Styela clava: one gene and its partners. The protein of the gene in region 4 binds, or shares a complex with, the protein of the main gene of each other region. Links are inferred from orthologs where the notes say so. Each region holds a gene or a part of one and is shown on either strand. Other genes may lie near its edges. The genes, in order: DNA polymerase alpha catalytic subunit-like, DNA primase large subunit-like, DNA primase small subunit-like and DNA polymerase alpha subunit B-like.

Region 1 (6,898 bases), on a different chromosome or scaffold from region 4:
CCACACATGGACGACGACGCTAGGATATGTGCGCCATATTCGGGATTATTATAAACACGAAAAAACAGTATTTGAATTTAAATTCGATTTGGACATCCCTGCATTAAATTAGTCAGTTTTTAGTTGTGTTTCCAAAAATTAGTTGTAAATCAATTATTTTAATTGTCATTATGTCTTCCGGTGAGCTTCAGTTTAGTTTAGAATTTTTCTGAGGTTAGGGTCGGGAAAAGGTCCATTCGCAAGAAGTGCATTTTGTTTTTAGTCTTGACGAATTCACCCAACGAGCAAGGCGCGGCACGAATGAAACACTGGAATTTATTCAAGCCGTGTTTCATTATCCACGAGGCGCAAAGCGAGGGAAACGTTGAAAATAATTAACAGCTTTTCGTTAGCAATTCGCTAGAATGTAATGAACGACGTTTTGCTACCCACGAGGTGCAAGACATAACGAAGCGCCGTTAATGAACGAGTGCAAAGTAAGCGAAAGGCTGGGATTTAATCGATGGCGTTTCCCTTTTAACCATGAGCAATTTATCGTGGTCAGCGGGCCGACACCTAGTGGCGTTGCGACTTACGTCGTGGTTGCACTGTGTAAATTCCGGTCGGACCCCCCCGTTGAAAACAGCCTGGTTGCGCCACTGGTTACAACACAGATAATTTCTAAAAAATCAAGTGGCAGTGGTGGCTATATTATTAAAAATTTTAGGTGAACATTGAGGTTATGGTCCATACTATCGAAAATTTGAAAGCAATTAGTTCGTTTGATACATAAAAATGAATTTTGTCAGCGACAACAGTTTATCAAAATTGGTTAACTTTGGATCCATTCCATAAATATATATATTTAATTATCAATGAATAATATTTCACACAAAATTCAACAGAATCATTTACTTCATATTTTAGTCGTTCTCCTTTATTTTTTGCAGCTTTCAGTTTTTCTAACATCGCTTTTCTACCAGTTTTATCTTTGCGTTCTCTTCTAGACCTGGTTGATGCAAGCCCTGTAATTTATTTAATTTTTGAAATAATAATTTTGTTAATAAGAATAGATAAGCAAATTAATTCTTTCTGAGAATAACCAAGCTGACTTGAACCTCATTTATTGAAACAAATTCTTGACAACATGGGACATTATTCCAGTTGTACAGATTCAAATAAGACCATAATTTAGCTTCTTGATTGCCAAATTTGTATATAGACATTTGTAGCAATTTTACCCTGCGTGGATGACCCATTATCCTCAGCATCATCATTGGCAGAAGACATTTTATAGAGTTTATTTCTTCAGGCAATCTTTTCACATTGATTTAATGTGGATGCGTTACATGTGCTTCAATTTTTCTGTAAAATAAATTTAATTTCAAACAGTGGAAAAACACAGCCACATCCCAAGCAAAGGTACATTGCACAGCGGAATGCAGATATATCAGATGCTTCACTATGCTGATATTTGACATAAACTAATATGGAGATATCTGATGACAAAGCTTGAAAGTAAAAACTAAGGGCTTTGTTCTCATAATAGGGCTAGATATTGAATAAAATATATTTGCTATACTGGATGCAAGAAGAGTATTGCACACTATACAGATCGAGAGACATTGTCTCGTTCCAGAGAATCCCATTTTGCCGATCTCTATTCAGGGACTTCTGGACATTGTTGTCCCTCGATATCAGTAAAAATACAGTAAAATGAAGTTGCACAAAAAACTACAAAGGAGCGCAATCTAAAAACGTCATCATTGAATTCCTCAGGAAAAAATAATCCGATTTACAGAAGGAAAGAAATTTCTACCGTGGCATTCAAGAGCTTTTAGCAAAAAACGACAATTTTGGTCAGGTCAGCATGTGACAGCCGCGATTAATTTAGATTTTAGACTATTATCGAGGCAAGCATGGCGCGATATTACGCATCTGCCGTTGTGCCAGATGCCCCAACAAGCCAGACACTTTGTAGACTATAAAATATTCCTCTATCTCAGTATCTCTCTATCAACAGTCCGAGATGAAAATTCATTAACATACAACAGGATGGCACACTATACAGATCGAGCGACTTTATCTCGTTTCAGAGAAACCCATTTTACCAATGATCAGACACCCCTTCTTTGGGAGGCGTCTGGACATTGTTGTTCCTCAATATCGGTAAAAATACAGTATAATGAATCGTGACATTCAAAAGTTTTTAGCAAAAACAGCAATTTTGATCATGTACGGCATTGAGACAAACATGACATGATATGAAGCATCTGACGTGGTGTCAGACGCCCCTCATTTGTGAGACACATGGAATGTTTGTTTTACTGAACCAGATGGAAGGAAATTCACAGAATTTAGATAGTGTGCCGTACAGTACAATGAAATACAGAAATATAACCAACATCGTTCAACTTCTTACAGTCTTTATTTTGAGCAGACATAACTTATGAGTTACATTAATTAGTTAACCAATAGATGTAACTTAGGAGATACATTTTAAAGTGCATCATATAAAAAAATTGAAAATGAATCAAATCATTGTCAGATCAGCAGATTGTTCATCCACAAATCTGTCAGATTTTGCTTTTTGCTGCATTTCCAAATTCAAAATCGTCTGCTCCTTAAATACATTGGATCGATCCTAAGATTATTCGGTTTGAGCTGCAATACAGCAACAGTACGCTATTATTTCCAGATTTCCAAAAAGCCATACCGGTACCATAAATCTAAGCTATGAATGTCAAATGTTCTGAACTTCATAATATTCCAAATAACCAGACAACGTTACAGGCAGACAGGGTTGCGCTATACCCGTACGCGGTATATCAGCCCTATTGCTAATTAGTAGCCTATACCTAATTATAATGTTATCAAATTAAAAAAATATCGAAGTTATACTGTACCTGGGAATCGGAGAATTCCTGCCTCTAAAACACCTGCAGCACGTTTTACGTTGGAGGTAAAATGGCGGGAAAGCACATTTTGCCCTTTTCCACGCTGTCGCGGTCCAGTGGTTTTGTAAGAGATTTCCACATCGCGTGCAGCAGTTTGTGACTTTATCTTGTTTTTTTCTCCTTTGCAAATTTTTAAAATCGTTCGACACTAAGCGTGTTGTCAACTACGGTTGACTTCACGGCCAATCTCATTCAGGCAGTTTCACTACCTTGATCTGAAAAGACGCTTGTATACAACCTATAACCAGTGGTGAACTGTCAAATTTTTCGTCATTCTGTTGCAAACAGAACATGGACAGCAACCAGTAATGCTAACCGGTTAGCTGATAAAATTCCGTGAGACGATTCTCCAAAACCGATGCGAATCGTCTGAATTCCACCACTGCCTATAACATCGTTTGGGCACTCTCGCAATTGCCTTTAAACTGTTGCTAAATATGAAAACGACAACTTCTACTGTAATTTCTCTTTATTTCGCATACTCATATATAAGAATAATTAATTGAAATGATATACATATGTGATCCTTATAAATAGGCATGAAACCAAAACATTGCATCAGCAAAATCAATTTATATTTATCCAATTTACATTTTCTACCAGAGGTATGAGAAAAATGAATAATCTGGTCACACAACTATTCCTCTGGTTACAAGTGGAATCTATGACATTCAATCACGAGGTTCAGAAATTATCTCTTTCTGAAAAAATTGGAAGAACCTGGTCAAATATCAACAAGATTGCCCATAAATTAAGTTCTGCATATTCTCATGAACATTTTAATCACAAGATAATACAGGAGGTAAAGACAATGAATGAAGCAGAAGTAGACAATACAGGAACATAAGCAAGAAAAAAACATGCAGGCCAGAAGGGTACAATAAAAATTATGAAATATAAATCATAGTGGCTATAAACCAATTGAGATTTCAATACCATGGCATTACCAATTATATTGCTATTCTATATTTGTGTGGCTATAAACCAATTGAGATTTCAATACCATGGAATTAACAATTATATTGCTATTCTATATTTGTACAAATAATCAATGAAGAATAAATGAGCTCTATGATATTGTAGATGAGCAGAGTAACCTATTTCAACCTCAAAATAAAAAAAGTGTATCTTTTGATATAAGTAATTGGAACCAAATTGAACTCACGAGATAATGACGAAATATAGAAATACATATCGATAAAAGAACTTTCCAAAATAATCAGTCAATCAGATCAAACTAAATATGATAAGTAGATTCGTTCACAAACAGGTCGTCGCATACAAGATATTCCTGTTCAGCTGTGACTAACGAGGTCATGCTAACAAGGATGCTACCCAGAGCATCTACTTAAAATATGTCAAAGATGATGCAATAATTTCAGTGGTCATTTTGTTACCCCAAAAGTTTTAGTTAAGTTGCAGTGGCCGTGGATTACCGGTAGTCCCTAAAAAGTTGCGGTAGGCCAAGATAACATTAGCTTCCATAACTTTTAAATTGCAGATAAATAAATATCTTGAATAAAAAGATACATAATGAGGCATGAATTAACAAGATATTTCATCGGGGATCAAATACAAAGAATGACATTGCTTAAGCAATTTTTCATTTGTAATTTCTCTACATGTTATTTTAAGGAAAGCGATACAATACCAAATTTTCTAATCTTTTGAAAAATAAAGTCGTCAAAATTATTTATGTGCTTTACAAAAACTTTGCGTGCAAAAAATGACATTCAGTTCATAATCAACTGGTATCCATTTCTTCCTCACCACAGTTAGATAAATTTGAATCATTTCCGTTGAGTAGTTGCTCTCTCTTTTTCTCACTCATGTTAAAATCGAATCCTCGAACGTGGCAGCTCCTTGGACTCACCATTGATTCCAAGAAATTGAAATCATCATCTCCTTCTTTGTTAACCCATTCCTCAATGTCTTGTCTCTGATACATCAACATATAAGCAGCTTTTGTCTGTTGAAAAATGATGAATCACGTTTATAAATTTCTATGCAGTTTCATTCATCTGTGTCATCTCATAAGAAACAAAATGAATTTGACCAAATTTGTATCTCTATAGAACTCAAACCATGTCGCGGGCCACTTTTTGAAATTTATTGACCATGCGGGCCGTAAACCAAGAAATAAGGTACAAAAATGGATATCTGAATGTATCGTGTTAAAATTACACTTGAATCGTACAGCAAACGATACATAAAACATATGCATTTACTTGTGCTGGATATTTGGTTCCGATTAATGGCCTTATTTTGCGGTGTTTTGCTAGTCTCAGGACAGCATGCAAATGCTCGTCCATTAGTCGTGTGCGGAGTGCTGACTTGCTAACTTTCATAGTTGAAAAATTACTTGCAAATATAAGAACTGCCAAACGTTGCAGTTATGTAACGTGGATGTGCAATTAGCTTTGCAAACCTTTCTTCGGGCAAAATGGACTGACCGAAACTCGTTTATTTCCTCACGATGAACATGCGAAATGAAATTAGTGTAATCATACACTCTATATACACTACAGGTATCTCTATATTTGTCCCGCCATAGAGATCATCGCTGACTAATATAAAAATATTCCAGGACAAAAGATGTTAATATGAGGGCCCGACCGATATATCAGCCATGTTTTTTCATAAATTTCGAACTATCCGTATCGGCTGGCTAATTTTACCGATATATATCGGCCAATCATGTGACTGCCAAGGTGTCAAAATTACGCAGGGAAAGCAGTTTTATCGCTTGTTTCATTGAGAGTGGTTCTGCCTAATACTCTTTTTCTTCGTTAATTCTATTTCTTTCTTATCAAAAAGCGGCTTTTGACTGCGTCTCTCTTATCCAAAACGGACGTGGTGGCTTGCAAATTGAAGCGAGAGAAACGTGTGCACATCCTATTTGTGTCAAATAATAATACAAGTTCGTTCAAGGCGCGATTTAACTTCTTGTATTGATATGTTGTAGACGGCTGGTTCTAGCGGTGAGAGCAAAAGCAAAGTATGGTAATACTTTGTGTGCCATAATGATGGCGTAATTTGTAAAATATGCTTATCATTATTAAGTCGAAGGGTACCGCCGATTTAAAAAAAAAGATGAGTATAAGTATAACTTGTAGAGCCATCTCAAAGCAAAACACAAGAGCAAGTATGATTGGAGCCAATGCAGAAAAGCATAGGAGCCAATGCAGAAAAACTCTGCTCAACTACATCTGAGACTGTTGAACTGGAGCTTCTGAGATTCATAAGTTTCCTGCCCTTACAATAAATGTTCTTTCTTGCCACGCACACAATTGCATGAGTTCAAAATTTCATTTCTTTTGCAAGAAAAACACAATATTCTCAGATTGTTGCTTGTTAATTTGTAGGTGAGGAAACATCGGTATCGGCCTATTTTCAGAAAACTATCGGTATCTGTTCAAAAAGGCACTATCGGTCGGGCCCTATTAACGCCATGTAATAGTATTGAATGACATACCTTGACTTTGTCTTCGGAGCTTTCAGTAACACTACTGTCATCAAAATAATACCATTTTCCATCTTTATAATTACGACAATATGCAGTATAATGTCCGCCTCCCATACCCCCATAATGATTTGATACACCAATCAGATTATATCTCTTCTTTTGTTCATGCCACTTGCTCTTAGCAGGGTTGATAATGAAATCAGACAAATCTAGATCTCTACATCAAAGGAATAAAATAAAAATCATCATTCAGACACCTAAGGCCATTATTTTCAATCGATCATAGCAGAACTGAATTAAGATCACTGTGAAGTGTTAACAAAAACTGTGCATTATGAACAATATAAGTCTAACCTTGTTGGAAAATCAACATATGTTCCTATTTTATCTCTCGACCAACGTGTGTATGAAAACCTTTTCAAATGAATAATGAGAACGGGTGGTAATGTCCATAAATCAAACTTCTTTGTTGCTTGCTTGTGGTCTTTACATTTAG
Region 2 (7,082 bases), on a different chromosome or scaffold from region 4:
TGTGTGAAATAACTTAATAATTTTAGGTGAGTAAACACGTACCACTTCCTCTTGGCAAAACCTTCCATCTTATATTTTGTACGTTATAAACCTTATCTAAGGTTTTGTTTGCTCCCCTGATTTCATAATCAGTTTTTATTTATTTGTTTTTATCTGTCAAATGTATTGTTATGCTGATTATGGAGTCGAAATAAACTTATACTTATTATACTTATAGAGCGTCGAAAATTCTGTATCCTACAAGTTCATGCGAGAGAACGAAAGCGCCAACAAGCGCAAAAAACGTTGGTTTTATTTTTTAGGGAAACGTACGTAATTCGATAAAATTAGCTATGATGGAATATGTTTATATCAGGTTGTATAAACTAGTAAAATGAATAACCTGTGGCATGTGTCACAAATCACTTCAAAGGCATAGCTGTCTCAGCGGTTAGCATCCATACTAATTGCACGACGAAATAAACTTATTGTCTATTGTTTGTCTAATGAAGCGTTCTCAAGACACATGATTTCTGACCAACTTGAAAGTTAGCATGCCATATTTAAACTGTTTGTCATATTTTTCAGCAATATAGTATTAGGTAAACTGCAAAAATACATCGCATTTTATCATTGAATATTCTTTTAAAGCAGGGGTAGGCAATTAACTTTTCTTGATGGGCAAGTTACAGATAATAGGCTTCAGTACTGAGCTGGAGGCTCAATATGTCCATATATATGAAAAAAACTATGAATGAAAAACCGTTTATTCACAACAGCTAGTCCAACAACTTTGCTAACGTTTTTATAATGAGCACAATTGAACGATCGGGGTCATTATGACGTGATTATCATCGATATTCTCAACAGAAACATATATTTATAAAGACTATAATCATAATTTCAGCAGACAAGTGGGTCAGATCTGGCCAACGGGCTGTAATTTGCCTACCCCTGTTTTAAAGGATGCAAATAAAGTTCCATTAGCACAAGCCACAATAACATGTGAATTTCTCATATACTCAACTTCAAACCTTCCCAATGTCTATAAACTACAGAGTCTAAACATCAGTGACAATAGAAAAAACAGTTGTTCTCCTTTAATCATATAAATTGTAATTTACATATTCCAGAATTGCAATCCTGGGCCATTCATGATCATGACTTGAACCTGTGGCTCACGGTTGGTCATACATTCACACCATAGTTTGCTGCACAAAATATGTTGAGAAATATAAAGTATGATTTAACATATTGATAAATAAACATCAATTAATATTGGCTGTAATATTATTTCCAGCAGTTTAAACATCAACTTCTGTCATTAGGGCATCCAATTCCATTTCTGATTCTTCAGTTTGAGATTCAGGAACTGGTTGTGACCACTTCGGAGTAAATTCTGCATTTCCTTGACTAGGTTTCAGCCCGGTGGTCTTTTTCTCACCTTTCAAGAGCATTTGACTTTCATCAAAGTATTGGTTTGGATGGTTAAGTTGAAAACCTGCTTCATCAACTTTGTGTGTCACCTCATAGTATTTTGTACAAGCAATTTGATAATGCTGGCTTTTCATTAGTTTAATGATCTCGTCAATTGAGTCTTTTGGTATTTTATAGTGATGGAGGCGTTGTTTTAAGAGTTCTGGAGATGAGTGTTTGAAAGGGCAACCGTGGTGTTCACCAGGTGCTGGTACATTTTTCATTATAATATTCATGCAACCATAAGGAGCATAATTTGTTCTTTTACCTTCACGACCAAACATATGTCGGAAATTATAGGAATACTCTTTGTTGAATTTTTCTTCCCCAACTCCTTTACTAAATTCAGCTTTCCAGAATTTAATTGATTCCTCAAGAGTAACACCTATGCCCTTTAAGAAAAGTCCATACTGCAAACGAGCCCAGTGCTTATGATGATGAGTCTCACGCAAAACTTGATGCAATTGCCGCATACATAATGGAAATGAGATTTTAGATAATTCATCAATTTGCTTGATAGATACTTTGCCAGCATTTTTGTTTGGATCGTATGCTTCAGCAAGAGTGTTTTTATTGAATCCCCTAAGTATAGGCAAGAGTCTATCATCCTCTTCTAACTCAGGTAGTGATCTTGAAGTCTGAGCTAAAGCTTTAGATAGGTGTTCACGAAAACGTGTGCTAATGATGGATATCAACTCTGACTGTGGAACATAGGCATAACCTGAGTTGATAAACACACGACGTGATGATACAAGATTCAAAACATCAGTGAAAGGAACTTTATAAAAGTTAGTTGACTGGACCTTAGACTGAGTCATATCGTAGGATATCAATTTTAGATGCGCAGAAAACTTTTCTTTTTCCTCCTCTGAGATTGGATAATAAGTCATATCATTCAACATTAAAAATTGTTTGATACTTGACGTTGATTCACAATTAAATCGATATTTGAATAAATCCACCTCTTTTTCCAAAAACCAACGACGAAGTTCATCGGAACGACAATACGCCAGTCTGAGAATAAAGTGGGAAATGTGATCCTTACGACGCCATTCTAAATTCCTTTCTTCTGTATCTTTCGATGGCTCAGATGTTAATGTAAACCCAACATAATTTTTTCTTAAATAGTCTCCAAGTTTTTGGCAGTAATCTGGACTATTTTTGACATAAGACACTCCTAATGAATCCAAATAGTGCAAAACTTTTACTCTATCATATGCAAATGATTCAAATTCTTGGAGGGTGATGTTGCACATTGGTGGTCTGTTATACATCATTAAACCGTGAGGGTAAAGGTCATCAGATAAGCCATCCGCCAATCGAAGTCGCTTTCTTCTAGAAGCAGATGGTTTGGGTGTTCCACCAAACTGCATTTTTTAGGTTTTGAAGAAACTGCTATTACAATAAATACAAAAACTGAAAAACAAGCAACCATTATGGCATTCAATTAACTTTAACTAAAATCCATTTGGGTTGGTATAGTTCATTATTGCCTTGCTCAATTAAGCAATTCACATTTTTAACTGGACTCACTCTGAATATTATGGATAAAATGTGCATAGGATAAGGGTCTATAACAGCAGTGGGCAAGGTTTTTGGACCTGGGCCATGTAAGTGTGACACAAAAGTTACATTTTATGAATAATATTTACAGTGTTACAAAAGCAAAAGTGGAAAACAATAAGCCTCGTCTCAAAACTAAATTTAAACGCAATCCAAACAAATTCTTTGATCTATTTTTTACCTTCAACATCAAACTTTGGTGTTAGTTCTGTAGTTTAGTTTAGCAGCATCAGGTGGGCCAGATTGTATTACCCAAACACAAAACGGCACACTATACAAATCGGGTAACATCCCGTCCCTCAATATTGGTAATAATACAGTATAACGAAGTTGCGCAAAATACTACAAAAAAGCGCAATCTAGTAACGTCAGCATTGAATTCTTTGGGAACAAATAATCCGATTTACCAAAGAAAAAATTTTTTTACCGAAGCATTCGAGAGTTTTTAGCAAAAAACGGCAATTTTGGTCATGTGACAGCCGCGATTAATTTAGATTATTATTGAGACAAGCATGGCGCGATATGAAACATCTGACGTAGTCCCAGACGCCCCTCGTTTGTGAGACACAGAGGTTTGTTTTATTGAGCCAAATGGAGGGAAATTCTTGGAATTTGGATAGTGTGCTGTACTGAAACAGCCGTATTTGGCTGGAATGGGTGGTGGCTGACTTTGATGACCTTTGGCCGTATCGCCATCTCCCAATCAAAACAAAAATAATAAACTCTCTCTCTTGTCCCATTGGGTTTACCAATGTTTGGTCTATAAGTTGGGTCTGGTATAGTTTAGTACCACATCGACTTCTAGTTGGCCTGGCTCAACAATTTTTGCATATGTCAATCCTAACCCCCACCTGACTACGTCACCGAAAAATTACGTCATTCCGACGTCACAGTGGCGTAATAAGGCCCATCGAAGTATGCGGATGGTCGTCCAAAACGCGCAGACGATAACCCGAAATCGAGCAAGCGATTTCTCTCGTTTTCTCGTCGCAACGATCACGATAGGAGAGAGATCGCCGGCTTTAGCAAGTTCTTATCGGCGGCGCAGATTCCATTTCGGGCGATCGTAATTATACTTTGGCAATCCCTATGACGTGATGGTGACGTAATGGATGGCATAGTCAGGTGAGAGTTAGGAATAACATATGCAAAAATCGTTATGCTACGCCCACTGGAAGTACTTGTGGTACTTAACTATACTAGACCCTATAATTTTACCGACAAACTCATTGTGTGCTATCAGACTATTGATGAAACATTAGTGAGATTATACAAAAACAGCATTATACAATAGTCAGTGTGGTAAAGCAGTAAAGTGAAATTTACTACAGTAAACTTCAACTCTCGGCAGCTCAGCCTCATTTATTAAAAATTGATAAGTTCCTGATACCTTAATTTCTGTAAATAGTGAATTCTTTACAGTTGAACCGTCACAGGGCAGTAGGATCTACAGGTCTATAGAAAAAATGACTTCATCTAGTCATCTGGACTCATGACTTCCATACACATAGGACAGTAGGACAAATAATCATTAGATTGGCATTTTTAAGAAATCGGGAAATGGATACACCTGAATAAACTATTCTAACTTAGGCTTTATATAATGCATAGACTATATCATGCATTTTAATAATTTCAGAGAAACTCTGTGTGTTGAAAATATTATGTCTGTACGGTACAGGCGCGGCGGTGTGGCTCAACGGGCTAAGCGTTAGGAATACGCTCGCCACCGCACCTCTAATTACTCTGCGTGGGTTCGCAGGTTCGAATCCCATGCAGGGATGGTTATGTGCGAGAGGATTGCTGGACTGCTCGCCGTCGTTGGGTGGTTCACGTAACCGCTGGTCGGTTACGGCTTCCTCCACCACCAAGTAATTACTGAAATACATACAGACATTAGAGATGGGTTTTCGCACCATTTAGTTCGCACATTACAATAATTACACATTATAATAAATAAGATACAGTACCGGTACCGTACCTAACTCTTATCACAAATTCTTGAATTCTGCGTCACTGCTGTGACTTCATATTAGTGAGAATCTTTCCCGCGCAAACTATGGTTGTTGTTTACCTGACCCTTAACCCAAGAAAAAATCTGTAGATATTTCTCGCTCTGTTTTATAAGTTTATTTTGATTTCGGCGATACATAACATGCCTAAAAAACATACACAAAACAATGAAGAAGATTGGGAAAACTGGCAAAAACCTCTAGAAAGGGATGAAACATGTGGAAATACATATGCCAGTTCAAACATATTACACAAACAAACATATAAATAAGGATAAAAACACGAACGTTCATCTTTCTGGCTAGGGTTGGGATTTAGGGACTAGTTTTTGAAATCATGGTATCGGGATACCCCGGGATTGAGCCGTAAAATCCCGGGATTTTTTCGGGATTGAGTAAAAGATTGAAACAAGTTGCATCACAATAAAATCACATATTTATTTCATGTAATATCGACGCAGAAATATTAAAGCATCTAGGGTGTTATCGTTCATACGACTTCTTATTTTGTTTGCGAAAAATCCAAGGGCAGAAAACGCTCTTTCTGCCTCGACGGACGTGGGTTTAATTGTTTTTAGGGCAGCGTACAACTTTTCAAGGTTTTCAGGTCTCTTTTTGCTTGTTTCATACAGTACCATCTCTTTTTGAATTACACTAGAGCTCAGGTTGCCAGGTCGCCTGTCTTCTACTTCGTCATCTTCCACAAAACTGTGGATTACTCTGCTAAAGTCATTTTCTTTTCTTCGTCAAGAATTTCACTGTCAACATCAATATGCACAATGTAGCCCGCATTGTAAGCCTCTTGAGGAAATAATCTCTGCAAGATGCCCATGGCCAGAGCAGCAATTCTGGGCCGCTTTACTCTGTGCCCAAATTGATCCTGAACTTGATCAAGATAAGACGGACTTTTTAAATATTTCAATAGATGGACCAACTCAGCATTCCGCCGTTCTTCAATTCGTGCTTTGAACCGGTCTTTTAATGCCTGGCTGATTCCAGTTTTCTGATCACCAAGCTTCTTTAAAGTAAATGCAATTACTTTTTCTGCTAAAAGAATGTCTGCATCTTCACTGGAGAGTGTAACGCAACTTTTATGGGAGCAAGAGCATCACACAGTCCCTCGATAATTTTCATGTCATTTTCAGATAAGTCAAAATCAATATCCAGTCGAACTAGAGCCAATTTTACCTCTTTTCGTAGCTGATAGAATCTCTCTAGCATTGAGAGCAAACTGTTCCATCGGGTTTTGTAGTCGAGCAGTAGTGTAATTTCCTTTCCAAAAGACTTCAAGACAAATGGTTGAAGAGCATCATCATTTTTCACAGGCGACCTTCTGAATATTTTCACGATGTTTCTGACTTTCTTGATCAATGTGTCAAGGTTGGGAGATAAAGTTAAAGAAAATCCGAAATCCTCGCGTTGTTCTGAGTCGTTGTCATCTTCGTCTGAACTGTCACTGTGACAGTCAAGTTCATCAGAGCATACTGCGACCGGTTGCCTTTTGTATAACACGTCACAAACGGCCAAATGAATCGCGTGAGCAAAGCAGATCACATGGAGTGGACCCGTCTCTTTTCCAAATTTTACCATCAAACTAGCACCATCAGTGATTGTGGAAACAATAGCTGTATTCAGGTCGAGACCAAAGGAGTTTAGTCGATTACCAACTAAGTCGATTGCTTTTTGTGTGTCCATGCTGCCGTGGATGCGAATCAATCCCAGCGAATGAAAGCCACCTTGAAAATGACAATTAATGTTCATGTAACGACGATTTCTTGCGGATGTTGTAACATCAAATGTTATGGAAAAACGACCATTATTCAGTTTGGTTGCACAAAACTCTTCCTTGACTAATTTCTTGACGGTTTCAAAGTTTTCCATCACCAGACTACGAACACGTTTGTGTGATTTGGGCAGCGTATAACCATCAGTTTTGAACGCTTGATGTAGCCTCTCACTTTTGGCAATTTGATTAAATGTAAGACCATCCACTGCAGTTAACTGACCAACTAGCACCTCAATGTTGACTTTTTTGACTTGAAGAACGACTCA
Region 3 (7,316 bases), on a different chromosome or scaffold from region 4:
GATTGGATAAAGGCTTTTCAATTTGATCAGTAGTCAGTTGTTTGTTTTTGGAAGCATGGACCTGATCGTGGAGGAAGCCGTAACCGACCAGTGGTAGCGTGAATAACCCTACGGCGGTGAGAAGTCCAAGAATCCTATCGCACTTAACTATCCCTGAATGGGATTCGAACACGTAAATCAATTCCTATTAATAACATGTCGCCGTAGAGCTGAAATCATTATTTTTCTCCAGAGTCAATAACGTATAATAGAAATCAATACGTCAAGTATTCATTTTCAAAATTTGATTTCCCTCTACTGTGCATTTTCACAGACAGCGCTGTCCTAGCGTAAGGTATATAGGCATTTCAAATTTACCTTTTTTTGCTTGACAAGGCCGCTCAAACTGAGCATATCACTTCTTAAAAGATCATGTGGAAGAAAACCAAGACGTGCAGCACTTGTACATAAACCTCTGCTACAAATTCCACGTAAAATTGTATAAGAAATTCTAGAAGTCATATTTAAAATCTAAGGAAAAAAGTGAAAAATTATTTACAGTATTGTTATGCAATTAGAAACACGACAACCACCCAATGGGGATATAGACAATTTTTACTATATTGTGTGGAAAGAGTTACAAAATATGTATTTTATAGCTAAATTGACATATTTTAAATAATATTAAACAACTAAGTAATTGGGATCTTCTATTTTTTGGTGGTCTCCGGGGAAAATTCTACCAAGAAGCTTTGTAGGGGTTGGGGCTTATTTTGTCTGGGTCAATTTTTATGCTTTAGGCCACACGGAGTTATTGAATGGTCAGTACTATATCTTCCTAATGACCAATCGGCAGTGTTTCTGAGGTTCGGGTGCTAAAATTAGGTCTATCAAGTTGATTAGAGCCCTAGTGTTCTTTCCTAAATGAAACCAATATTAACAAAACCTGCAGCAGCACATTGTTTACAATTTACCAACATGTCAAATCCAGATACCAAAAGTTATGATTGAGAATAAACAGTGTCAACGCGAACAACAATCTAAAGTTCATATAAATCTTTCTGATTAGGTATTTCCTTACGACTGTCCGCTAACAATTTGCTAGCTAACAAAAATTATGATTGAGAATAATCAGTTTCAATATAAAAACAATCAAAAATCCATTGTTGCATCTTTCTGATTAAGTTTTTCCTTACGGCTATCTGCTAATAATTTGTTAACGAAATCTTCAAAAATCTTGACGTGTTTTTTGATACTTGTTGTTTTATAAAGGTGGATCTTTCTAGTGGAACCGTCAGAATTGTCTTCTGTTTTTTCTGCTTTTTGTGAGTCTAACTCGTGGCAAAGTTGGCTGATAGTCGGGACAGCAAAAGGGTCGAAATCATCAACGCTATCTATATCAATTGGTACACAAACACGTCCGGTTTTAGGATGAACAGAAAAAGGACTCTTTAACAAGTGATTAATACTTGTGCTGACGTTGGCATCGAGACGAGGATAACAAAATTCTAGCATAATTTCTTGTGGCGTGTAACGAAGCTTACGATATTTTTTCATGTCTTCTTGATATCTTTCAGCAGTGGCTTTTCTTATTCTTTCCCATCTAGTTTCAGTTGTACGATTATCGTTATTAAATTCCGTTTTCAATTTTTCCTTCATTTCAGCATCAGGAACCATTTTTAGTACTTTTTCAACGTCTGAAGGGGTTTCAAGAATTTCTTGTGCCTGTCGGTATTCCTCCCAATGCTGCTTCGATATTGTGGTTATACAATGTCTTAAAAACGGGTGGACTGGATCTTTAAGATTAACTCTTTTCTCCAAATTACCACCTTGAATCACACTCAAGTAGTCCACGATCGCAGATCTTGCTTTATTCGGCAATTTTCGTACTTTGTCGTCACATACCCAGCAATGGACTCCACGTCTACCAGAATATATCCACAGTCGATGCATGAATCCAAAATCCTCTCTCAGGGCTCTATCAATCAATTTAATAGCCATTGTCATAAGAGGCCAACATTTTGTACAAATATCAGCTCCTTGACAACATTTTCTAACGTCATCGTAATCAGTCATATCAATGTCAAACACAAGTTCTTTTTCTAGAGGTTTAAAAATGCCGCTATGATATTTATTATGATCTTTTGGTGGATGGGAAAATATGGCTCCAATGTCAATTTTGTGAGGTTTCATTTTCTGGATTTCTTTCTCCATTTCTTGCTGACTTGTAAAAGATTGGTATCGAACATAAATATCATTCTGTAAAGTGAACGAAAATTCCCGGTTTGAAAATGTAGTTTTATTGAGACCTCCGTAACTCAACCAAGAATAGAACGGCCCATAAGGAAACAAGAGTTTATAATAAATTGGAAGCAAGCTTGGTAGACTTGATGCGTCATAAGCAAATTCCTCTTGATTTGTTGTTTCTTTTTTAACTTCGATTTCCTTTTCTTCAGACATAACCAGTTTAGAGAATATTCAAATTTGGTGTTTTTATACTGAAAAAAGAACAATATACAAATTGTAAACTGATAAATAGACACAATAACAACAAAAACTATACATGACATAAATAACCACTTGCGGCAAGGAATGTGTATATCTGGAATGTACAATAAACACTTTCAAGTTTGGGCTACAAAGCTCTAACAGAAGAAGTGCTTATTTTGCATCCTAAATTGGTATGATTGGTTTACAGCTTCACTTCTTAACATTTCCATGATTTAGTTACATGATTGTATTATTTTTTGTACCAAGACTAAAAAGTCAATTTTTAGATTATCTAACCATATTTAGATTACACATTTTTGTATTGTACAAAATTGTATGGTACAAATATAAAACCCTGGTGTACAACTGAAAATCGTGGATGGCCATTCTATACTTATCAAATAATCTATTCAGATATCTGCATTATTTAATAGGTAAGCAGTTTCTGAAATATTTATAGTAAATAAATGTTCATAATCTTGTTCGTGCTGACACCAAATAGCTCGTGTATGTCTAAGACTCTTTAGCAAGTGTGCCTTGGTCAAACAGCCATTTTCATTGCAATTTTGCCATGAGGTTTATAGTTTACCAGCTCAAAATCTTCATATTTGAAATCATCAATATTTGATATTTGTCTTTTTATTTTAAGAAGTGGAAATGGTCGAGGTACACGTTTTAACTGTTCATTGAGAGGTTCAACATGATTGCTGTATACATGAGCATCTCCTATTGTGTGTACGAAATCGCCAGGTTTTAAGCCTGTAATATGAGCGATCATGTATGTAAGAAGGGAATAGCTAGCGATATTGAAAGGCACACCAAGCCCCATATCTGCTGATCTCTGATAAAGTTGGCATGATAGTTCTCCATCACACACATAAAACTGGCACATTGCATGACATGGAGGCAAGGCCATTTTTGGTATGTCTGTAACATTCCAGGCACACATCATAATTCTCCTGTTGTCTGGATCCTTTTTAATTGTTTCTATTACTTGAGAAAGCTGATCAACACCTTTCCCAGTATAATCAGTGTTCATGTCAACATATTCAGCGCCAAAATGTCTCCATTGAAACCCATAAACAGGTCCCAGATCTCCAACTTCACGATCATGAAATCCCAATTTATCGAGAAACTCACGAGAGCCGTTGGCATCCCATATTCGAACTCCTTTAGAAGATAATTCATTTCCATTGGTGCTGCCTCTTATAAACCAAAGTAATTCTTCTAGAACACCTTTCCAAAAGACACGTTTGGTGGTCAACAACGGGAAACTTTCTCTCAAGTCATAACGCATTTGAGCACCAAACAAAGATATTGTTCCTGTGCCGGTTCTATCTCCCTTTATTTTACCCTTAGACAATATCCTTCTGCATAAGTTGAGGTATTCATACTCGCCGTGTTGTTCTTCTGATGTCGTTTCTGTACATTTGCTAGGGCAATTTGGATTGATTTGTGCGAGAGGCGTACCGGTACCATGTTTGCGGATTTCTTCTGGTGCTACTTCCATGGGCATCATTTGCGAAGAAACAGGTGGCTGATTTTCCATACTACAGTTCTACCGTAAAAGATTATTGATTCACAGAATTACCTGACGAATCTAGAATCCTAATTCCTAAGACTGTAAAAGCGCGCGAAGAAACTCAAACTACCCTTTCACATACTCACATCACGTTCGCGCTCCGGCGACTGGTTTGTTTTATTTCGTCAATTTGACATTTAGGCGTAACTTACTAGTGCGATATTTTTGCTTATATTGGGAGTTTTTACATAATTTTTTAAATATAAACTGATTAGCTTTTTCAAAATCATCATTTGTCATAAGACCAGTATAGCAAATATAATTAAAAATCTCATCCCTCTCCTCCAAACTACGAAAACGTTGTTTACAAGCAATGTTGAAAATCTAATTTATCCGATTAGTGTATGGACGATTATTCAATTTGTGAAATACGAATACCTTATATTCTTCATAATAGGATCTAACGTTCAATGCTCAATATTTTAATCAATTCTTCACATTCGTCTCGAACGTTGAAGTATGGGGTTTGCCACGCGCCATGTCCTACGAAAATGCTATTTTTGAAATGGCCCAGCCTCATCTGGATAGTATACTTCTTCTAAAAAAGTCTCGCACTTTCAGAAAATACTATACTAATCTATTACAAGCTATGCGACATCCTTACGATGATTAATCAAAGTAAAAAAGAGAAAAGAACAAACTGCGCCATTCTTAAATAGAATATGTCACTGCTAAGTTCCCGTCGAAACAGGTATATATTTTATAATTCAACAATCTGGATTTTAGAACTTGATAAAAATGTGCCAAGATTATTATGATTATATGCCATGTTTGTATAAATATAGGATTCTGAATATGTGACACGTGGTATTAGTATTTAAAGTAGCCTACATACATGAAATGGAAATAGAACCAAAAGTGAGATGAAAGTGAAGGAAAATATGCAAGGCAGATGGAGAAGAGAATCTACACCAGGGGTGACGAACCAATTTGCTGTAGCGGGCCACTTTATCAGTCACCGCTGAGTGAGCGGGCCGCACAATTTATAGTCGTACTACCGTATGATACCTGTTGATTTTCATCTACTAAACGAACAACGGCATCAATACAGCTGATGTTATTCAATTATATAATGCAATATAAACGCTCGGCTCGGATGTTCCAGATCCAAATTCCCTTTCGAATACCACAGCATTTTTAACACGAAAGTTTGAGTTTACTACCTGCGTATTATTGCAAAATCAATTTTTAATGTACTGTACCATGTACTTTCTACCATTGTTTTATTCATTGAGCATTTTCATAAAGTGAGATTACTCCTTCTCTATTAAACCGTATGCGTTTGCCGATAAGAGAGCGTAACTATGCTACGACAATGGTCATTTTGATCCATTGTTAGAGGTATCGATGATCCAAAAAAATAGATGTGTTGGAAATAGTGTTGTTGCCAGTAATATGAATACGGTAACACTTGCGCTCCCATTCTCTCTGTACAGTTCATGGAGGTTTGTGACTTTACTCCAAACATACACTGAATTGCCAGAATGCTTCGTGGGCCGCAGGTTCGTCACCTCTGATCTACACGAAAGAAACAACGGGTCAACCGCTGTTGGAGTAAGAAGTGATAACTTTAGTAATTAAGCACTTATTAGATAAACGAGTGCTGGATGGAAATTGATGATGCAGGTTTTTAGCGATCAAGGAAATTTATTTTTCTTATAACCTGCCCATTTTGTAAGTAAAATTATATGCTTTTCCAATGAATTTTTTTATTTATTATGCGAGTAATATCATTAAATAAAAACAAGTAAATTCAGCACCGCATCGCGTGGTAGCGCCCGCTATATAAGATATGAGGCATGGTTTACCATCCTTCGAGGCTGTCAATGCTATAAATCGAAAGCTTGTCGTCGTCATTTTGTCGCTTGGTGTTGGGAACTTCAACATTGACAGCCGTTGCCCATGTGTCTTTGCTTGAAGCAGGCCCAGAGAAATGAGCAGGTTCGAAAGTGTCAGCATCTTCATTATCACCATGAACTACCATCACTTGTTGAGGCAATTTAGCAGGCGTTGGCGGTCGATGTCCTGACATAGTTTCCTCAAGCATCCTTGAAACATTACGTGGCAAGTTTCCTGCAGATCGACTAATGCCTGTTTTTGGCCTTGCTCTCGACGTGCGTGGCCTGTATTTCGTTTCATCCTTATTAGTGAAAGATGAACGAAGATTTTCTAAGGGAGAAATTGCTATATCCTGTCCTACTCGCGTTATTGACGGTGGTCCAGGCTTTTTCATAACTATGTGGTTACTCTCCGAACTCTCTGGGACATTAATGAGTTGAAAGCTTTCACTGCTGCTGATGTTGTTTATGAGCTTATTTTGCAAGAAAAATAGGCTTTCATTTGAACTCGTCGGACTACCGTTAACTTCGAGATGAATAGGTAGAACTCGATTTTTTCTACGATTGAATTCACAACATAGGTACGGAAGTCCAGCATTTCGGCGCCAAATAACCCAGGATGTGTGCAATAAAATCAGTATGAATGCTGATGCAAATAGCAACAAACTGTGTAAGGTTAGGAAAGATTGAATAGCAGTGTCACATCCCCTATCGTAAATCTGGGTTTGAACAAAATCAAATGTAGCATCGTTTCCAAGGGAAAACGGAATTGAGGTGCCCATGCCAGGATTGGCCGTAGTCATTGAGATAGCAGTAGAAGAAACATCAAGAATTACGTTTCTTGGAGATATCGAGCAGTCCGAAGAGTTAATACAGCATGACTGGGGGATCCAATCGTAGACGATTCCGTTTTCCTTATCGACTTGAATCCAGTCTTTTGGAGATTTGGCACCACAGCACTGAAACACGCTCTGAATATATAAAAAAAAATTATGCTCTAACCTCTGAAGCCGCTATGGGTTGCACAGATTAGCCGCCATTTCATATAATGCCGATACCCGACACTAATATTCAAAAAAAGGTGGAATATGACATAAATCTTTGACCAAAGTTTCGCTGAGCGACGTCTATGTTTCTATTCATCTTTGCCGCACGCCAGACACTAAATTCTCAACGCCATCCATAAGCTAAATCAGAAGCATTGGCGACTCTTTTCGTCTTCAAGCAATGAAAATTTGATAGGTCTATTACTTGCTAAGAATGTCAATTTATCATAACACTAAAAATAAGACACAGCCTCAGCAAGAAAAACAACAACTATTAGGCAAAACGGCCATGAGTCTATTTCGTGTCCGATAATATATATAATTGACTGACCTGGTAAATATCCATCGCTTTTATATTTGTTGATCCTATGCTTCCGGTTA
Region 4 (7,485 bases):
CAAGCCAATCGTATCAGATTAAACTAAAGTAAATACTCGTTTCACGAGCCGCAGACCATTCAAAATTGGCACTTCTCCGCGGGCAGCACAATTTTTCCTTGCGAGTAGACTCCACATCAGAGCTTGTCTAGTGACTCCCTCAGAACAAATATGGGAAAAAACACTTGCCTGTCCTGGAAATAAAGAAAACTCTTCTAATTGGCTCAAATCAATCGCAACATATTTTCCGCTTGAAATTCCTCTATCACCTTGTAATAAAACAGACTGCGAATTCAACCTTCCTACACCTCCGCTAGAATCGCAGCAGATTCTTCCGACGATATGAACAGGTTCTTGGGAATGCATTGAACATGGTGAATAAACATCTATTTCAGAAGAGTTTTGCGATTGTATAGTTTCAGCAGCATTTTCTATCATTTCGTCCAAAACTGAAATTATATAAATAGAAAAATAGAATTATCGGAGTATAAATACTGTGGCATTGCAGAGAAGGCAAAAAAAGCAAATAAATTGCTGTTCCAAATACGTTCTGAAAATACAGAATATTTTACAAACTATATAAACACAGAGCATCCATGTTGTGTACGTTGTCAGACTAGGACAGACAATACATACAAAAAGTCAGTCCACTCTCACGAACGTTGAGGTTGACATTGAATCATCTCAAAAATTAAAACAATTTCCGAGACAAATCATTTGAGAGCCATCCGCATTATTCTACCACTTTTGTAACGCCCAACCAGCATGTATTGAGGCTGACTGAGCTGACTTAAAAGTGGATCATTTATATACAAGGCAATTTACTCATGTGCACTCACTCAGAAAAAGAGAAGACCCATTTGTGGGCAAAGTTACAGGCACTCACTCAGAAGTGAAGAAGACTCATCTTTGAGCAAATTTACTGACAATCACACAAATGTAAGAAAACTAATCTCCAAGCTGAGTAATGCACTCTCACTCATAAACGACCAAAATAATTTGTTTATATAAGATGCTCAATCGCAAAATGACCAAATAATTTGTTCATATAAGATGCTCACTTGCGACTTATGCTTCAAACCACAGAGTTGAAAAATGAACTCACTCAAATAGGTTACAATGAATTCTGTAAATATATTTACCATCAGACAAATCCACCAATTTCTGGAACATATATTTATATGGTTTACTAATATTGCGTTTTTTGTCCACGACAATGGATATTTGTCTTCCCGTTCCTCTATGGTTTGTTATGGACTCGTGACTCGGACCAAAACTATCCAAAACACTACCGGAGTTACTCCGACTCGTATACTTCTGTGACGAGGTTGAGCTGGAATAAAAAATAAGGAATTAATCAGAGCCATGCAAGTAAGAATACTTTGCAAGACACCAACTCAAATCCTTAGGAGATTTGAATGAGAGGTCAACTTTTATCATTATTTTATCTCCTCAATATAGGGATCAATAAATTTTGACTGATTAGAATAGTATTGAATCTGTGCCGATGATGCAAGTGAATTACATAGGAATTCAATAACCATGCCAGAAAAATTCGGTCTTAACCTATGCTGTAGTAGTCGGGGTTGTGTCTTGTTAGTAGATAAAGCAGGGTGGGGGACGATTTGGGGGCCAGGGGTCAAAACTTTTGCCTTTTGCCCACCTAGACTGGCGGGCTATGTAAGTGTGACGTAAAAAAGTTACATTTTATTACTAATATTTACAGTGTTACAAAAGCAAAAGTGGAAAACAATAGGTCTTTATCGTATTCAAAGTCGTGAGTCAAAATTTTTGCCAATCAAAATCGAGAGGCAGGGTCATATTTTATATGACTCAGATTTGAGGTGGGTATAAGTTTAAAGCCTTGTCTGATCACCAGTATAAAGCATTCTTTGTATGATACAGATTTGAGAATATTTACCCAGGTGAGAATGAAGAGGGCGAAAATACAGCTGGACTCGCTGAAATATTATCAGTAGGCTTCGTCTTAATGGCAGATTTTGGTGTCATATTTTGAGTTCGTTTTTGTTTAGTATTGACTCGATTTGGAGTTCCGTAAGCGCTTAATAAATCATTTTCCTCTACATCTTCTGAAGTTGAACTATCGTGCAATGACGCAATATTATCCGCAGTGTATAATACCAAAGGGTTTCGTTTCCGATTGGATGCAGGTGTCGAACTGTTCTTTGAACGATTTTTCCCAACTGTTTTCTTGAGAAACAAAATATATTACTGAAAAAAATTTGTTTAAAATTACTCGTTCAATAAATTTTTTTTTTAAATTGATTCAGATAAAAAAAAAAAGGGGACAATGAATTCAACAATCTACAACAGTACAATGCTGCTCGCAGTCTTTTGAGTGAGTACGGTACAAATTAATGCAGTTTTATTAACCTAATCTAAAATTTAATCTTGACCATAATACAGTAATATAGATATTTACATGATAAATAACTCAACAGCAAGCAGACTACCATAAACATAGCCTACTTAACAAAGTAATACCTCAAGAAGAAGTTTATCAAGATTTTCAATGCTCAGCTTACATCCATGTGTACTTTGATAAGCCAGCCATTCATTTACGATTGAATCTGCATCATAGTTGAACAATGTTGCAATTTCAAGCACTGGGATAAGAAAATCGATAAACACATTAAACAGCGTCGTTGATGGCAATTAAACAAAAAATATTCTTTAGAATTTCACTCACTTTTTTCTAATGTGCCATCATCTTGAACGTTTATATCAAATATAGACAAGCTCTCTTTCACGTCATCTGCTGTTGTGTCAGCCATAATTTAAAGTCGGAGTATTGGGGAATGTTTTGCCCAACCGCTACACTTTCAACAAACCACTAACTTCAACATGAAGCAGTCAAGAGATAAAACAAACCATAACCATCGCCACGCCGACCCATATGCCTGTGCACTGCGGACCCAAAGGCGGGAAAACAAGAAAGAATGAGGTGCGTCGACTCAACTCAACAGTGTTGCCAGATCCTCAACGAGCTCGAGATGGCACAATCGGTAAGTTTATACATAAGTTTATACATTTCCCAATTAGAAATTCAGTCAGAGCGAAGTTTTTACGTCTATACCCTAATTTTTTCAAAGTAAATACAAATAAATTTAATACAAAATTTCTGATGCCCTGGCGCGTATTGATTTTTACGTCGCAGAGGGTTAGCTATCTTGCATACAAGATGGGAATAAAGTTCAGTAACTGATACTGCAGAATGTAAATTAAAAATTCCTATAATAAATCGGTTCTGGTAATTGAAACCTTTTCAGAAAGGCTGTTCCACTAAATACGCTCACCCCATGCATACACGTATATATCTTTCGGCCGGCGGCCATGCTAATTTATGAAACTAATATAGAATCAGACATTGCTATGATGAGTGAATAAATATGAACTCATCTGACAGCGTTGGGCATCGGTCTCCATGATTGAATGAATCTTAATAATGCCACCCGCACCGTCGCACTGTTCTTGTCAACTTTTCATTTGAAAGATGAAAGTATTATCGTGTTATATAGGTAGCCTATAGGTATCAATTTATTTGACTCCATGAACGGGAAAAACAAACAAAAACGTAAAACACCTATAAATGATTATAGAAGAGCAAACAAAACGGCAAAACCTGGTTTTGCTTTTATCGAATTACATTCACTTATTTCATGCACCATGTATATTGAGTAAACAAACTAATTAACGAACAGACTAATAACAGTCGATAAACGAATTAATCGCATTTAATTAATGTGTTCTAAAAAACGATGCCTGGATGTTTAAAACCTGCAAATTTAACGGCGTTGTCAACAGAAGTGGTACGTATACGTATACACTTCGTCATGTAGGAGGTTCAATCATCGTAGTTCAGACGGCTCGCGGGCCGAAATCGCCCGCCTGATGCTGCCTTAACCAAATGTTGATGTTTTAGTTGAAAATTGCCCAGGGAATTTGTTGAGATTGCGGTTAAATTTAGTTTTGGCACGAGGCTTATCGCTTTCCATTGTTGCTTTTGTAACACTGTTCATAAAATGTAACATTTTAGATCATACCTACATGGCCCGCCAGTCTAGGTGGACAAAATTTGGCCCCTGATCCAAAAACCGTGCTCACCCCTGGGCAATCCATAACATCTAATGCCCTACATATTTGAAACAGCGGCCAAAACCCGCGATTAGGCCAACTTATGGATCTTCCTTTTCTGTCCCGCAGTTTAAACGACATCCTAGTGTGCAAACTGAAAAAAGCAAAATCTCAGGCAAATCTTGTGCTGATTGTATATAATATATGATGATGTACCATGTTATTGTCGATAAATTCGTATATTTTGTTTCATAAAATGAGCAAATTACAACAGGTATGGTGAGAGTGTGTAAATTAAGCAAAAATTAATTTGTTCCTTAAAAGTATGAATCGCAGTGACATGGGTATATAGATAAAGTGGATAAATCAGCAAGAAATAATTGCATATAACCCAATATAACAAATAAATTATTATGCTATGAATAAGTTGAGAAAACATGATAATTTGATGAACTTCAATCTTCAGTTTTCATGCATTGCTTTGAATAGTCTTCATAAGCAATACGAATATCGCCCACAGAATCCTGAAATTCTTTCAGGGGACACATATACTTCATCCATCGTCCAACAGGCTGTTCTTCTCCATTGTACAGCATCCGAACAAAGTAACTTGGTTCTTTTCCTGAAGCATTATTTTTGCGATGCAACTCGATGATAACATTTCCAGCATATGGTGGCCAATGAGCATACCTTATACCAAGAGCACTAAGTAGCGGTATCAAGGTTGTGTCGTGGCCAGAATAAAGATGCATTTTGATATTCGATGAGTCTTTGCCCTCTGACCTCACTTCTATGTTGTTCATTAATATATCGACAAAAGGCCCAATCGCCAGCTTCAAAGATCTTTCCCTGTTGGAAAGTAATTAAATAAGAATTTTCCACTCTAAATAAGTTACCATACCGTTTCAAGCTTACAAGCGTTTCAAATTACCCATGAATAGAAATACAATCGAAAGTTACACAGTTGCAAAAGGCCGCAGTTTCAGATTTTATCAGTCATCACATAAAAGCCATTGTTTGTAATTGATAAGAAAAGCCATACCATGTGAACAATGTGGGAAATCAATAAAAACAACACATCATTACCTATTATTGGTGGATGAGGCCAATATTTAAATCGTCTACCTGACATTCTCTTCTCCAACAAACGCAGTATGCATGATTTTCATTGCACCTTCTTCCACTATATCTCGTGTTTTCAAGCTAAGTTTGCTTCCAACAGATGGCTTGTTATGAGCTTCTTCAACAGCAATATTGTCTCTTATCGATACCAAATCAGCTGTGTCTTTATCGGAAATACTTAGAGGTTTTCGAACCATTTCTTGCTTCAAACAAAACAAAATTCATGTAAAAATGCCATGTTCATCATCAAACTAGGGATTAGGCCTGTCCTGTATAGTCTTCCAAAATTCTAAATATTTGGTTGCAAAAATCACCCACAAAATAAATATAAAATTTGATGTTTTTAATTGTCAAAAACTTAACAAAGGGTCATTTCACAATTAAGATTTATAACTCATATGTAACAAGGTTCTAATACTGCCTTATATAACAGTTGTGTTATTTTATTTTCAAAAGTTTTCCAATGCTAGATAATTGAAAAATTATACGAAAAGACATAGCCATTTCCAACTTACGATTGCAGATACGCCAGGTATTTTCTCAGGATGTGACCATGCCCATCTTGTTAGAAGACGCAGATAGTGACAGGTATAATAATTTGGATACATTATTTCTTCATTTGGTGGTGTGACATGAATTTGAAGAACATCGCTTCCAGATTTACCTGAAAATATCCCTGTGATAAAAAAACAAAAGATATTAAATTGTGCATACATGTGTGCGAAGTTGCAACTCTTTGCATGTATGTATACATACAACCACAGCGACATTATATAAAATTACAATAGAAAAAGTAAGAAATGAAAGATAACTACACACATAAATGAAAAAAAAACCTGCCTCCTTGTATTAATATTTTTGTAGAAAATTGCCAAATTAAATACCAAATTAGTAAACAGGTGTGAAGGTGTGAAATGTAAAAAATAAATTCGTTGAAGGATATCGCGAAGCTGATTATAATAAGAGTCTCCTGATTCCAGATTGGACCAAGTTGGATGTATGAAAAGGTGGGCTTGACCGCTCCACTCGCCACTTTGAAGCCAAAACTGGCTTGTTTTTTTTTTAACTAAAAGCACATAAAAAAATTAAAGCTATTTTTTACCCCGAAATTTTTAAAGTGTTTCAACAATGCAAGAGAGTCATGGAATAGAACATTCATAAAAAGCAGTAAAATCATTATAATTCTACAACATTGAATTGACTATTAAATTATATTAGCTGTATTTTTGAATGAAACCAAGTTTGTCCGTCTTATACTTTTATATACTTTTGGGTTATTCAAATACAATAAATCATAAATGGAAAAAGACTTTTAACAAAGATTACTTAGGTGCCACACAATTTTATATCCAAATGTACAGAATCGTATTTACCTGCCAGAACACATCTTGCAGACATAATTGTCCTTTCAATATTTGTAGATCTGGTGTAAATTTCGTTTAACAGGCCTGAGTATGATGAAGACAAAAACCTTTCATCTTCCAAGTAACGTTTTTTAAGATACAGTCCCAATTGATACATCTGGTCTGCTCCGACATGGGTCAATTGACCAGGCAAACAGCCCCCTTCCAATTTACCCCTGTGCTTGTACGATTCTTCAAATGGACTCTCAGGAAGACTGGAGGAGAAGGTTACTAATTCGTAAGGGATGACGGTTTTTGAAGCATGTTCTAGTAAGCTTTCATCGTATCGTACTGTAGGAATGTACGATGGTATATGTAATGGTGTCCTTGCTCCATGACGGAATATAACTTGGACATGAACCAATTCATATTCTTTTTGTGCGGCCACTAGCTTTTTGCCCTGATATCCAACCACAGCACATGAAACAGCAGCAGAAGCACCCAAAACTATTTTCGTTAAATTCATAACGCTGTATATTTGTAATTAATGACTGCATGAGATGCAATTAAGAGTATCGATTGTTACTGAAAGTGACCATTAAAAAATTTTCCCTATCCTAATGAAGCGCTTGCTTAAAATACAATAATATTGTTCTAAAATCGTGCTCAAGTTTTTAGGCATTATTTCCAATATACAGATATGTGCATTTGAAAAACTATCTCATCTGATGAGATTAAGATGACAGAATAAAATGGGAAAATAACGATGCCGTTTGAATGCATGTACAAGCACTGCAGGACGTTGCCAATAGCTGAATAGTGCAGAGTTTGCAGGTGTGGTTGGTAAATAAGTTCGAGTTCTTGGTGTCAGAGTGCACCGATACCGTAACCTAGTTATACAGTAACAAGCAGCAATCCCTTCTGGTTAATACCGTACATTATTGTC

Evidence for each region.
Region 1: DNA polymerase alpha subunit B-like (region 4) and DNA polymerase alpha catalytic subunit-like share a complex: the UniProt entries of both Drosophila melanogaster proteins name them as parts of the alpha DNA polymerase complex. The link is inferred for Styela clava from reciprocal best matches to the Drosophila melanogaster genes PolA2 and PolA1.
Region 2: DNA polymerase alpha subunit B-like (region 4) and DNA primase large subunit-like share a complex: the UniProt entries of both Drosophila melanogaster proteins name them as parts of the alpha DNA polymerase complex. The link is inferred for Styela clava from reciprocal best matches to the Drosophila melanogaster genes PolA2 and Prim2.
Region 3: DNA polymerase alpha subunit B-like (region 4) and DNA primase small subunit-like share a complex: the UniProt entries of both Drosophila melanogaster proteins name them as parts of the alpha DNA polymerase complex. The link is inferred for Styela clava from reciprocal best matches to the Drosophila melanogaster genes PolA2 and Prim1.

What each region holds. Positions count from the first base shown.
Region 1 is NC_135256.1:23,488,856-23,495,753, reverse strand, and holds the start of DNA polymerase alpha catalytic subunit-like, read right to left. Parts: upstream 3,015-6,898; 5' UTR 2,886-3,014; intron 1,345-2,885; 5' UTR 1,270-1,344; coding exon 1,221-1,269; intron 1,005-1,220; coding exon 895-1,004; intron 1-894. Other genes in the region: ubiquitin carboxyl-terminal hydrolase 15-like, read right to left, coding at 4,681-4,905, 6,412-6,619, 6,757-6,898. UniProt on the Drosophila melanogaster protein: Catalytic subunit of the DNA polymerase alpha complex (also known as the alpha DNA polymerase-primase complex) which plays an essential role in the initiation of DNA synthesis.
Region 2 is NC_135261.1:19,112,278-19,119,359, forward strand, and holds DNA primase large subunit-like, read right to left. Parts: upstream 2,901-7,082; 5' UTR 2,829-2,900; coding exon 1,284-2,828; 3' UTR 510-1,283; downstream 1-509. UniProt on the Drosophila melanogaster protein: Regulatory subunit of the DNA primase complex and component of the DNA polymerase alpha complex (also known as the alpha DNA polymerase-primase complex) which play an essential role in the initiation of DNA synthesis.
Region 3 is NC_135258.1:14,386,581-14,393,896, reverse strand, and holds DNA primase small subunit-like, read right to left. Parts: upstream 2,444-7,316; 5' UTR 2,440-2,443; coding exon 1,132-2,439; 3' UTR 510-1,131; downstream 1-509. Other genes in the region: large ribosomal subunit protein mL48-like, read right to left, coding at 358-501; thymidylate synthase-like, read right to left, coding at 3,011-4,018; uncharacterized protein LOC120339549, read right to left, coding at 5,856-6,860, 7,267-7,316. UniProt on the Drosophila melanogaster protein: Catalytic subunit of the DNA primase complex and component of the DNA polymerase alpha complex (also known as the alpha DNA polymerase-primase complex) which play an essential role in the initiation of DNA synthesis.
Region 4 is NC_135264.1:10,461,607-10,469,091, reverse strand, and holds the start of DNA polymerase alpha subunit B-like, read right to left. Parts: upstream 3,011-7,485; 5' UTR 2,775-3,010; coding exon 2,690-2,774; intron 2,607-2,689; coding exon 2,485-2,606; intron 2,191-2,484; coding exon 1,901-2,190; intron 1,313-1,900; coding exon 1,122-1,312; intron 429-1,121; coding exon 169-428; intron 1-168. Other genes in the region: lysophosphatidic acid phosphatase type 6-like, read right to left, coding at 4,530-4,923, 5,200-5,399, 5,712-5,872, 6,570-7,065. UniProt on the Drosophila melanogaster protein: Accessory subunit of the DNA polymerase alpha complex (also known as the alpha DNA polymerase-primase complex) which plays an essential role in the initiation of DNA synthesis.